Linked DNA regions of Bombyx mori. The protein of the gene in region 2 purifies or fractionates together with the protein of the main gene of each other region. This does not show direct contact. Links are inferred from orthologs where the notes say so. Each region holds a gene or a part of one and is shown on either strand. Other genes may lie near its edges.

What was found.
Region 1: the proteins of eukaryotic translation initiation factor 6 (region 2) and protein BCCIP homolog purify together in Homo sapiens (affinity purification with mass spectrometry; 3 studies listed by BioGRID and IntAct, counting the BioPlex papers as one, with this or other methods). This does not show direct contact. The link is inferred for Bombyx mori from reciprocal best matches to the Homo sapiens genes EIF6 and BCCIP.

The regions. Positions count from the first base shown.
Region 1 is NC_085132.1:4,572,567-4,577,060, reverse strand, and holds the start of protein BCCIP homolog, read right to left. Parts: upstream 2,819-4,494; 5' UTR 2,358-2,818; coding exon 2,241-2,357; intron 1,648-2,240; coding exon 1,521-1,647; intron 1,327-1,520; coding exon 1,199-1,326; intron 790-1,198; coding exon 653-789; intron 1-652. UniProt on the Homo sapiens protein: During interphase, required for microtubule organizing and anchoring activities. During mitosis, required for the organization and stabilization of the spindle pole.
Region 2 is NC_085114.1:15,903,393-15,906,511, forward strand, and holds eukaryotic translation initiation factor 6, read right to left. Parts: upstream 1,538-3,119; 5' UTR 1,472-1,537; coding exon 734-1,471; 3' UTR 529-733; downstream 1-528. UniProt on the Homo sapiens protein: Binds to the 60S ribosomal subunit and prevents its association with the 40S ribosomal subunit to form the 80S initiation complex in the cytoplasm. Behaves as a stimulatory translation initiation factor downstream insulin/growth factors.

The DNA.
Region 1 (4,494 bases), on a different chromosome or scaffold from region 2:
AAGTCCCAATTATAATTTTCTCCATTTCTCCAGAAGTTCTGGAGACAATAAGATATTCACACAAATAAAACATAAGTATTTTATACATATATATCTGTATACAGCCAGTTAAGCTAGTGGGTTGCCCAGTGTAGGTAGTTAGGCATTAGAATAAATCATACTATATACAACTTACTTATATCATGGGACATGAGGATAGTCTTAATTGTAATGGCTTTCAAAACTAAAAAACATGGGACACTTCATAGTTACAGTCACTTGAGTGAATCAAAAGTTTTGGGAATTAAATATCTTACCTTATCTTATACCTTTAAACGAGCAATTCTTGTATATATATAATCTGAATCTCGGAAACGGCTACAACGATTTTCATAAAATTTAGTATACAGGGGATTTCGGGGGCGATAAATCGATCTAGCTACGATTTATTTTCAGAAAATGTTTTTTTATTCGTGTTTTCAATAATCAACTTTATGACTATTCCCCACATCTATTGGCAGATAATCAAACTTATTTTTCTTAATTGAGGGCAACTAACCGCTTTAAATACACAACAAGATGGCATTATAAAAAAAAAAAAAGAGCAAAGCTCGGTCATCATCTAGTCTATAGAAAAAAAACAATGAAATTCTGAATACTCCAAAATTTTTACCTTTCATTAATAACTAGGCCAGTATGCTGAGAATCATCAGCCAGAATATATTTAATTAATTCTTTGGTTCTGGGATCTGCATTCTCCTGAGATAGTTTTGTAAGCAATTCTCTGATCTGTGCCACACTGGGTTCATTCTGAAATAGTCAGTGAACTATATTAATTAGATAGAACACTACATATAGAGAAGAATATTTACATATCAAAAGAATAGAAGTACACTACATAAGGAAAGGCTATTTGGTTTAAATGACATTTTTCAACTTTACAGGAGAGCCATTTAGAGATTAAACTTTGGAAAAAAATATATATAAATGTCACATATTAAGCAAATTGTCGCTTAAACCAAATAGCATTTTACCTCTCAATGTTTTTTTTCCCATGTTAGTTTTTTATTCATTGGTATTTTAGTTGAAACATATTGATAGTTTGGGAACTCAACAAAAATTTGTTTAATTGATTTCAAATTAACTTTTATTAAGGAGTAAATATCACTTTTTAAAGTTAGTTGAAATGTTTAATATAAAAACATTGTATTAATCTTACTTTTCTTTTAGTAATATTCACTACTGTAGTTACTCCAAAAACTCCATCACTACCATCGTCCTCATCATCGTCATCCTCTTGACCATCATCCAAACATTGCTTCACAACACTGCCTATGTAATTTTGTGCTGACAAAAAAAAGTAGTGTAAAATTATAAATTGTATGATCCAATTGATTATTCACTATTTTTAAAAACAATTCAAACTTTATAGCCAGTACAATTAAAATTTTACAAGCAATTTTTTTTCTTGGTTAGAATTGAATAGGTACAGAGTTTTCTGGTAATTTGACAAGCTCTGTATTAAGTCACAAAAGTCTTACATATAATAATTTGGGCTAGCCCTCCAAGGTCAACATTTGATTTCAGAAACAGTTGCCTCAGTAGCTGCTTAATACCGTGGAAGTCACTATCTTCTGGGTTACGTCCTTCGAAATCAGCCTGTAGCTCCTGAAAATAGCAAAAGAATATCTCGATGCCTCCAATGAACACTACTCTAACTCAAAATTTTGAAATTTTCGTTTTTCACGCAAATCGCTTCACTATTTTAAAAGTATTACATATTCATTATTAATGGGGTTCGAAGCAAGAGTAAATCAACTAGTTACACAAGAAAAAACCATAAAATCTTTATTATTGCAGATATATTTATCAACTTTTTTCGTTTAAACTCTCCTCTTGTAAACCTACGAATTTGGAGTTATAGTAGTGTTCATTGGAGGCATCGATCTTAATTTAATTTTCAGTAATTTTGAATTTCACAATTTGGTTTGGAAAAAGGGTGGGGAAAAGCATTTGTCACTGGAAACCGCTTTGCTGTTACATGCTGCAGTAAAATACGCCATATGCTTTAATATAGTGATTACATGATTTGAGTTTATTTGTAAGTTTACTGGGCATCTGCAAGAAAGTATTTGTGTACTAATCTCATTTATTTTCATTAAGTTTATTTATCCATTTTACATAATCTAGTTGATTGTATTTAATTACACGATTAATTGAAACAAAGAGCCATGTGTTTTGTAGGTTATGGTTTTGCTTACTTTTTCACCGACATAGTTGCCGTCTGAATCAAAATCAGAATCTTTTTCGCTGCCTGAATCTTGTTCCTTTTCGCTTTCGCTGTTTGTGTCAATTTCCTTGTTCTTTTTATTAGGCATTTTAGCAAAATAAACAAACGAGGAGGTTATTAAAGAAATATTATACAAGTTGAAAATGAAATGAGATTAATGCACTTTTATTCACTTATTTTTAATGAAAGGTTTTGTTAGCTGTATGACAGTAGTAGTTCTATTGATCCAACTGGAAAGGCAAAAGTATTATGCCATACAGCTTATTCTTTTATTATAATATAATATATCTTTTTTATGAAAAATAAGTAGTGAAATTAAATGAAATGGAATGAAATATAATATCAGTAAAACGGTGCCTAGCCATTTACTGAAAATTTTCCAGAGGACTTTTTGGAGGACCCAGAGAAGTTACGTCCAGCGGCTTTGTTCTATTTTCCCAAATTTGTGCACTTTCACAGATAACTAAACAATTCATCATAAACCACTGTTATCACACATTTAAACTTGAAGAAACACTAAATAGGTAGGTATACAGGTCGCTGGGTGACATTAAGTGTATTAAGCTTTGTGATTTAACGAGAGCGGTCGGGCGGCCTAGGAAAGCGATCTGAGATCCATTAATCATTGGATAGATTTTTTGACCAAAAATATCGAAACGCAAACGCAATATAAACTGTTATTTACGTTTTTAGGCGTTGTTTTCATTTAAAATAAACAAAACTACATTTAGTTAAATTAATAAAAGAAAATATTGTTGTTCGAGCAAATTTTATATATATATTAATGAATAACCAAATTATTAAACCACCTTACTAAGTGACGGGGTAAGTTGGCGGGGGTACAGGGAGACCCAGTGAAACGGTATTCGCCGCTGTCCACCGATCAGTAGGGGACCTGAACCCGGGTGTTGAAGGATATAGAAATGCTCAGATGAGAGAAACTAACCTTTTATTAATATTATTTATTAAAGACACTACTGTTTTTACTGTTATACATTTTCGTGAGACCATAGTGTTTTTATGCTACCTACTCTTCTAACCACTGACATTAAAAAAATACTAGTGTTGTGCTACAGCTCACACTTCTTAATAGGGATGTACCCACTAACAGGTGTCACAACTAAACTCCGCCCCGGGAAGCTGTCCCGCCAACCAGTGTGAAATCCTGTCGTGCGGTCGTCGTGTCGGAGTCGCAGACTGGAGTGGATCCCGGCGATCGTACGCAGGGTGGACTGGGGACCCTTCCATGCCCTGCGTCAGCCTTTCACGAACGGGGGGATCGGACGCTTCGGCGAGTGTGCAGGGGAGTCTCTAAGTTAATAGGGCCTTATATACCAATCTTGAGCCCGCAGTCTTGTCTTAATATCTACGGACCGTCCAGTCCCATATACGTCGCGCGCCTCTCGTAGGAGGTTATGCCCCCAATGCAGAAATAAAATAGCACCATTTTTAAGATCATGGAAGGTCAATAGATTCAACTGTGATTCAACTAGGTTTACCTACGTCCTAAACAATTTAAATAATGTTTTAGAAACGTCTTACATAACTGTAAAATTACAAATTATGTCGGACAGGCCAATACTGTTGTTTACTTGTATAAATTTTAATGTATTTAATTGCATGGAAATTGGTCGACTTCTTGGCTCAAGGTGATCCTGGGATTGAATTCGTCATGTTTATGGGATTCAGTATTTTTTATTGGTAACCCAAATTTGATATTGAATTATTTGAAAACACAGAGTAAATACTCATATTGAAATAAAAAAAATATCTATTTTTATTTTGAAAATTATATATTGAAATGTAACTATGAATATTGTGCTTTCGTGCTGAAATTATTTACTGTTTGTAAATATTCAATAAAAGCGTAAAATACGACCACGATGTTTTGATAATCTGAAAGTGGAAACAAAGAGAAAATCAATATAACATCATTGAGAAAGTTGATGGTTCGTTTATTAAAAGCTACGTAAGCTAAATACGTTTTTACATAGGTTATTCATTACGCTCAACTATAAATATATAGTTTGCATTTTTTTCTCCTGACCCGTGCTTAATTCGATTGTTATTCACGAATACGTACCATCGAGCTACCTTTTTTCTCAGCTTTAGTATTCATGTTTTTAAGACTAAATTAGCTACTACTTGAGGGTAGATCTATATTAGAGTACTGTCTCTGTTAACAGCTGGCTACGGTAACCATTGAACACACGGTGGGCCATAAA
Region 2 (3,119 bases):
TACAAAGAGTTCTTGTACCTTGAGACATAAGGCAAATGTCAATTATAGGCCCTACCCTCATCTTTAGTTCAGAATGTGCATGGTTCCTAGTAAAATAAACAGTATGGTGATATCTATACAACTGACACATACATAATGTGACTGTTTTGCTCTGAAATCATAGTCCAATAATGGTTACAATTGATTAAGAGACAGTGGTGGTGATTGAGAATGATTAGATATTAATATAGTAATTCATGCAATAGATGCAGTGTGGCATTCATTATGAATTGTGATGATTATGAGCCATAGTATATAATGATGAGCAGGTAGTATCCTTAGCTAGTAGCCCTTTCTGCACCAAATATTTTTAGTTTTTTTTTCTTTAACACTACTATTATTATATTTATTATTATTAATAAAGAAATATTATATTTATTACTGAGTTGTAGTATCAAGGCGCCAAGGTACTAGAACTCTAAGCCATTAATAATAAACTATGAAATGATAATTATTCAGAAGAACTACTTTACTAAAAAGCATTTTTTTATGAATATTTATTATTTTAAATATCTTTAAACAAGGTCAATGACTCATTGGTACTCATTATGCAATCTGTCCAACAGAAGTACAAAATCGTGTTATCAGTATTCACAAACAAGTAAATCAAATTGAGTTTTGGTAATCCAAAACAATAGCACAGAACTTATAATGTAATATTTATTAAACATAAGATTTATTTCACAGTTCAATGTTATGACATACTGTCAATGAGCGATGCTCTCATTGTAGATGTGATTGCAGTCGGTTTAGCATCATTTAATTTGAAAACACTCTCAATAACAGAAATCTCAGTTGACGTTGTGTCCAGTCCGCAGAATGCACACCAATCGTTGACCACCATTCCAGCAGCTACGACATCACTGCCTCTGTTAACTGTTCCGGCAACTAAGGGCACTTGGAGTAGCGAAGAGAGTTCATCCTGGTCCTGTATATTTGTCTTCGGGTGTACCAGCCCTCCTCGGTTGCTCAATGCAGTGTAAGAACCAACAAGTACGTTTCCCGCTATTGTTTGTCTGAATACTTCCACGTTTAATGTGTCGGCTAATATTTCTTCTGTGTCTTTGTCTAAGTCAGGATGTACAAGTGCTACATAGTCGTTACAGGCTATGACGTTACCGAGGGCACTAAGCCGTTCCTCCACGCGTTGTAATTTCACGTTCTCCGGCAGACTGTTTCTAATGTGTTGTAATTCTGTGTCCGTGGTCGAAGATGGAACTAAGAGACCGTTCTTGTTCCCTACGGTCATTCTACCGATGATTCGGCAGCCTCCAACACTCGCATGTATCACTGGGATGGTCTCCGCTAATTCAGCTTCGAACACGCTGTAAAAATTCTCCGAACCTCCAATCGCGACAAGGCAGTATGTGTTTGTTAATTTACTGAACACTCCCACTTCATTATTATTTTCAAATTGAACGCGAACCGCCATGATTTTGGTTTTTCGTTTAACCTTTTCCCTTATTATGTATTTCACAATATGATGCGATTCTTCACGTGGGTTGCGAAAAACACAAGCGTCTAAATGAAATTGGATTTGTTTGACAAATTGATTTTTTAATGTCTGACAGTCGAGTCCAGTGTTGCCATAAATTTTCTGTGGGTCACTGATATCAGACAAGATATATTATTTCAATAGAATAGGTATGATAATTCTGTGTTTAGTTTTATGTGTATAGTTTACAAATATTACCAAATCACTATTAGGCCACAGACGGCCAGCCTCGCGCAGACCCCCGCCAGCGCCTGTGTGCGAAACCCATGAAGCGCCCGCGCGCCCCCTATTTTTACGAATCTTCATGTTTCAATGTATTTTTTATTATTATTTGTTAATTTTGACTTATTGTTTTGACGTAAACATTGGGAAACTTGTACTTAAATGTTTTGTTATTTACAAGGTATATCTTACACCTATTGTAACTCTTTATATAACGAATACAAAGAATACTAGGCTGCACTAAAAGTATCGGGAATGGAATATTTCCACTTCTTGTCATATTAAAATCTTTTTAATTGAAAACTCCTTAGTTTTAAAAATCGAATACCATTTATTTATTTAAAAAAAGATTCTCGGTCTTGTCACGAGGTTTTGTCAAACTTGTTTAGTCGTTGAGAAAATGGAATTGACTCGAGAAAATTCAAGACCGATGATTTATTATGACTTTCGAAGTGGTTTAACACAAAAACAGTGTGTTGACCGGATGATTTCTGCATTTGGTGATGAAGCCTCATCCAAAACCACAATTTATCGCTGGTTTGCTGAGTTTCAACGTGGACGTGTCAAGCTCAGTGATGATCCCCGTCAAGGTCGTCCAAAAACTGCAGTCACCCAAGAAAACGTTGATGCTGTGCGTAAGCTGATTGAGGAAGATCGACATGTGACATACCGCGAAATTCAGGCAACTTTAGACATTGGCATGAGTCAAATACAAATAATCTTGCATGAACAATTAGGTGTAAAAAAGTTGTTTTCCCGATGGATACCGCATTCGCTCTGTGAAGAGCAAAAAGCGGCTCGCGTTACTTGGTGCGTCAGAACTCTCGAAAGATTCCACGCAGGATCCTCAAATGCTGTATACAACATTGTATCAGGTGACGAATCCTGGATATACGCGTACGAACCCGAAACAAAAAACCAGTCACGAGTTTGGGTGTTCGAAAATGAGTTAAAGCCAACAAAAATTGTTCGTTCACGGAGTGTTGCAAAAAAAATGGTGGCCACGTTTGTCTCCAAAACAGGCCATGTTACGACTATTCCTCTTGAGGGACAAAGAATGGTTAATACAGAATGGTATGCTAGCATTTGTTTGCCACAGGTCGTTTCTGAACTCCGTAAAGAGAACTGCTACCGCCGCATCATCCTCCCTCACGACAATGCGAGTTCTCACACCGCGCACTGAACAAAAGAGTTTTTAGAGCAAGAAAACATAGAATTATTAGACCATCCGCCGTACAGCCCCGACCTAAGCCCTAATGATTTCTATACTTTCCCTAAAATAAAGAATAAATTGCGTGGACAGAGATTTTCATCACCTGATGGACGCCTACAAAACGGCCGTTTTGGAGACCCCAACTTCCGA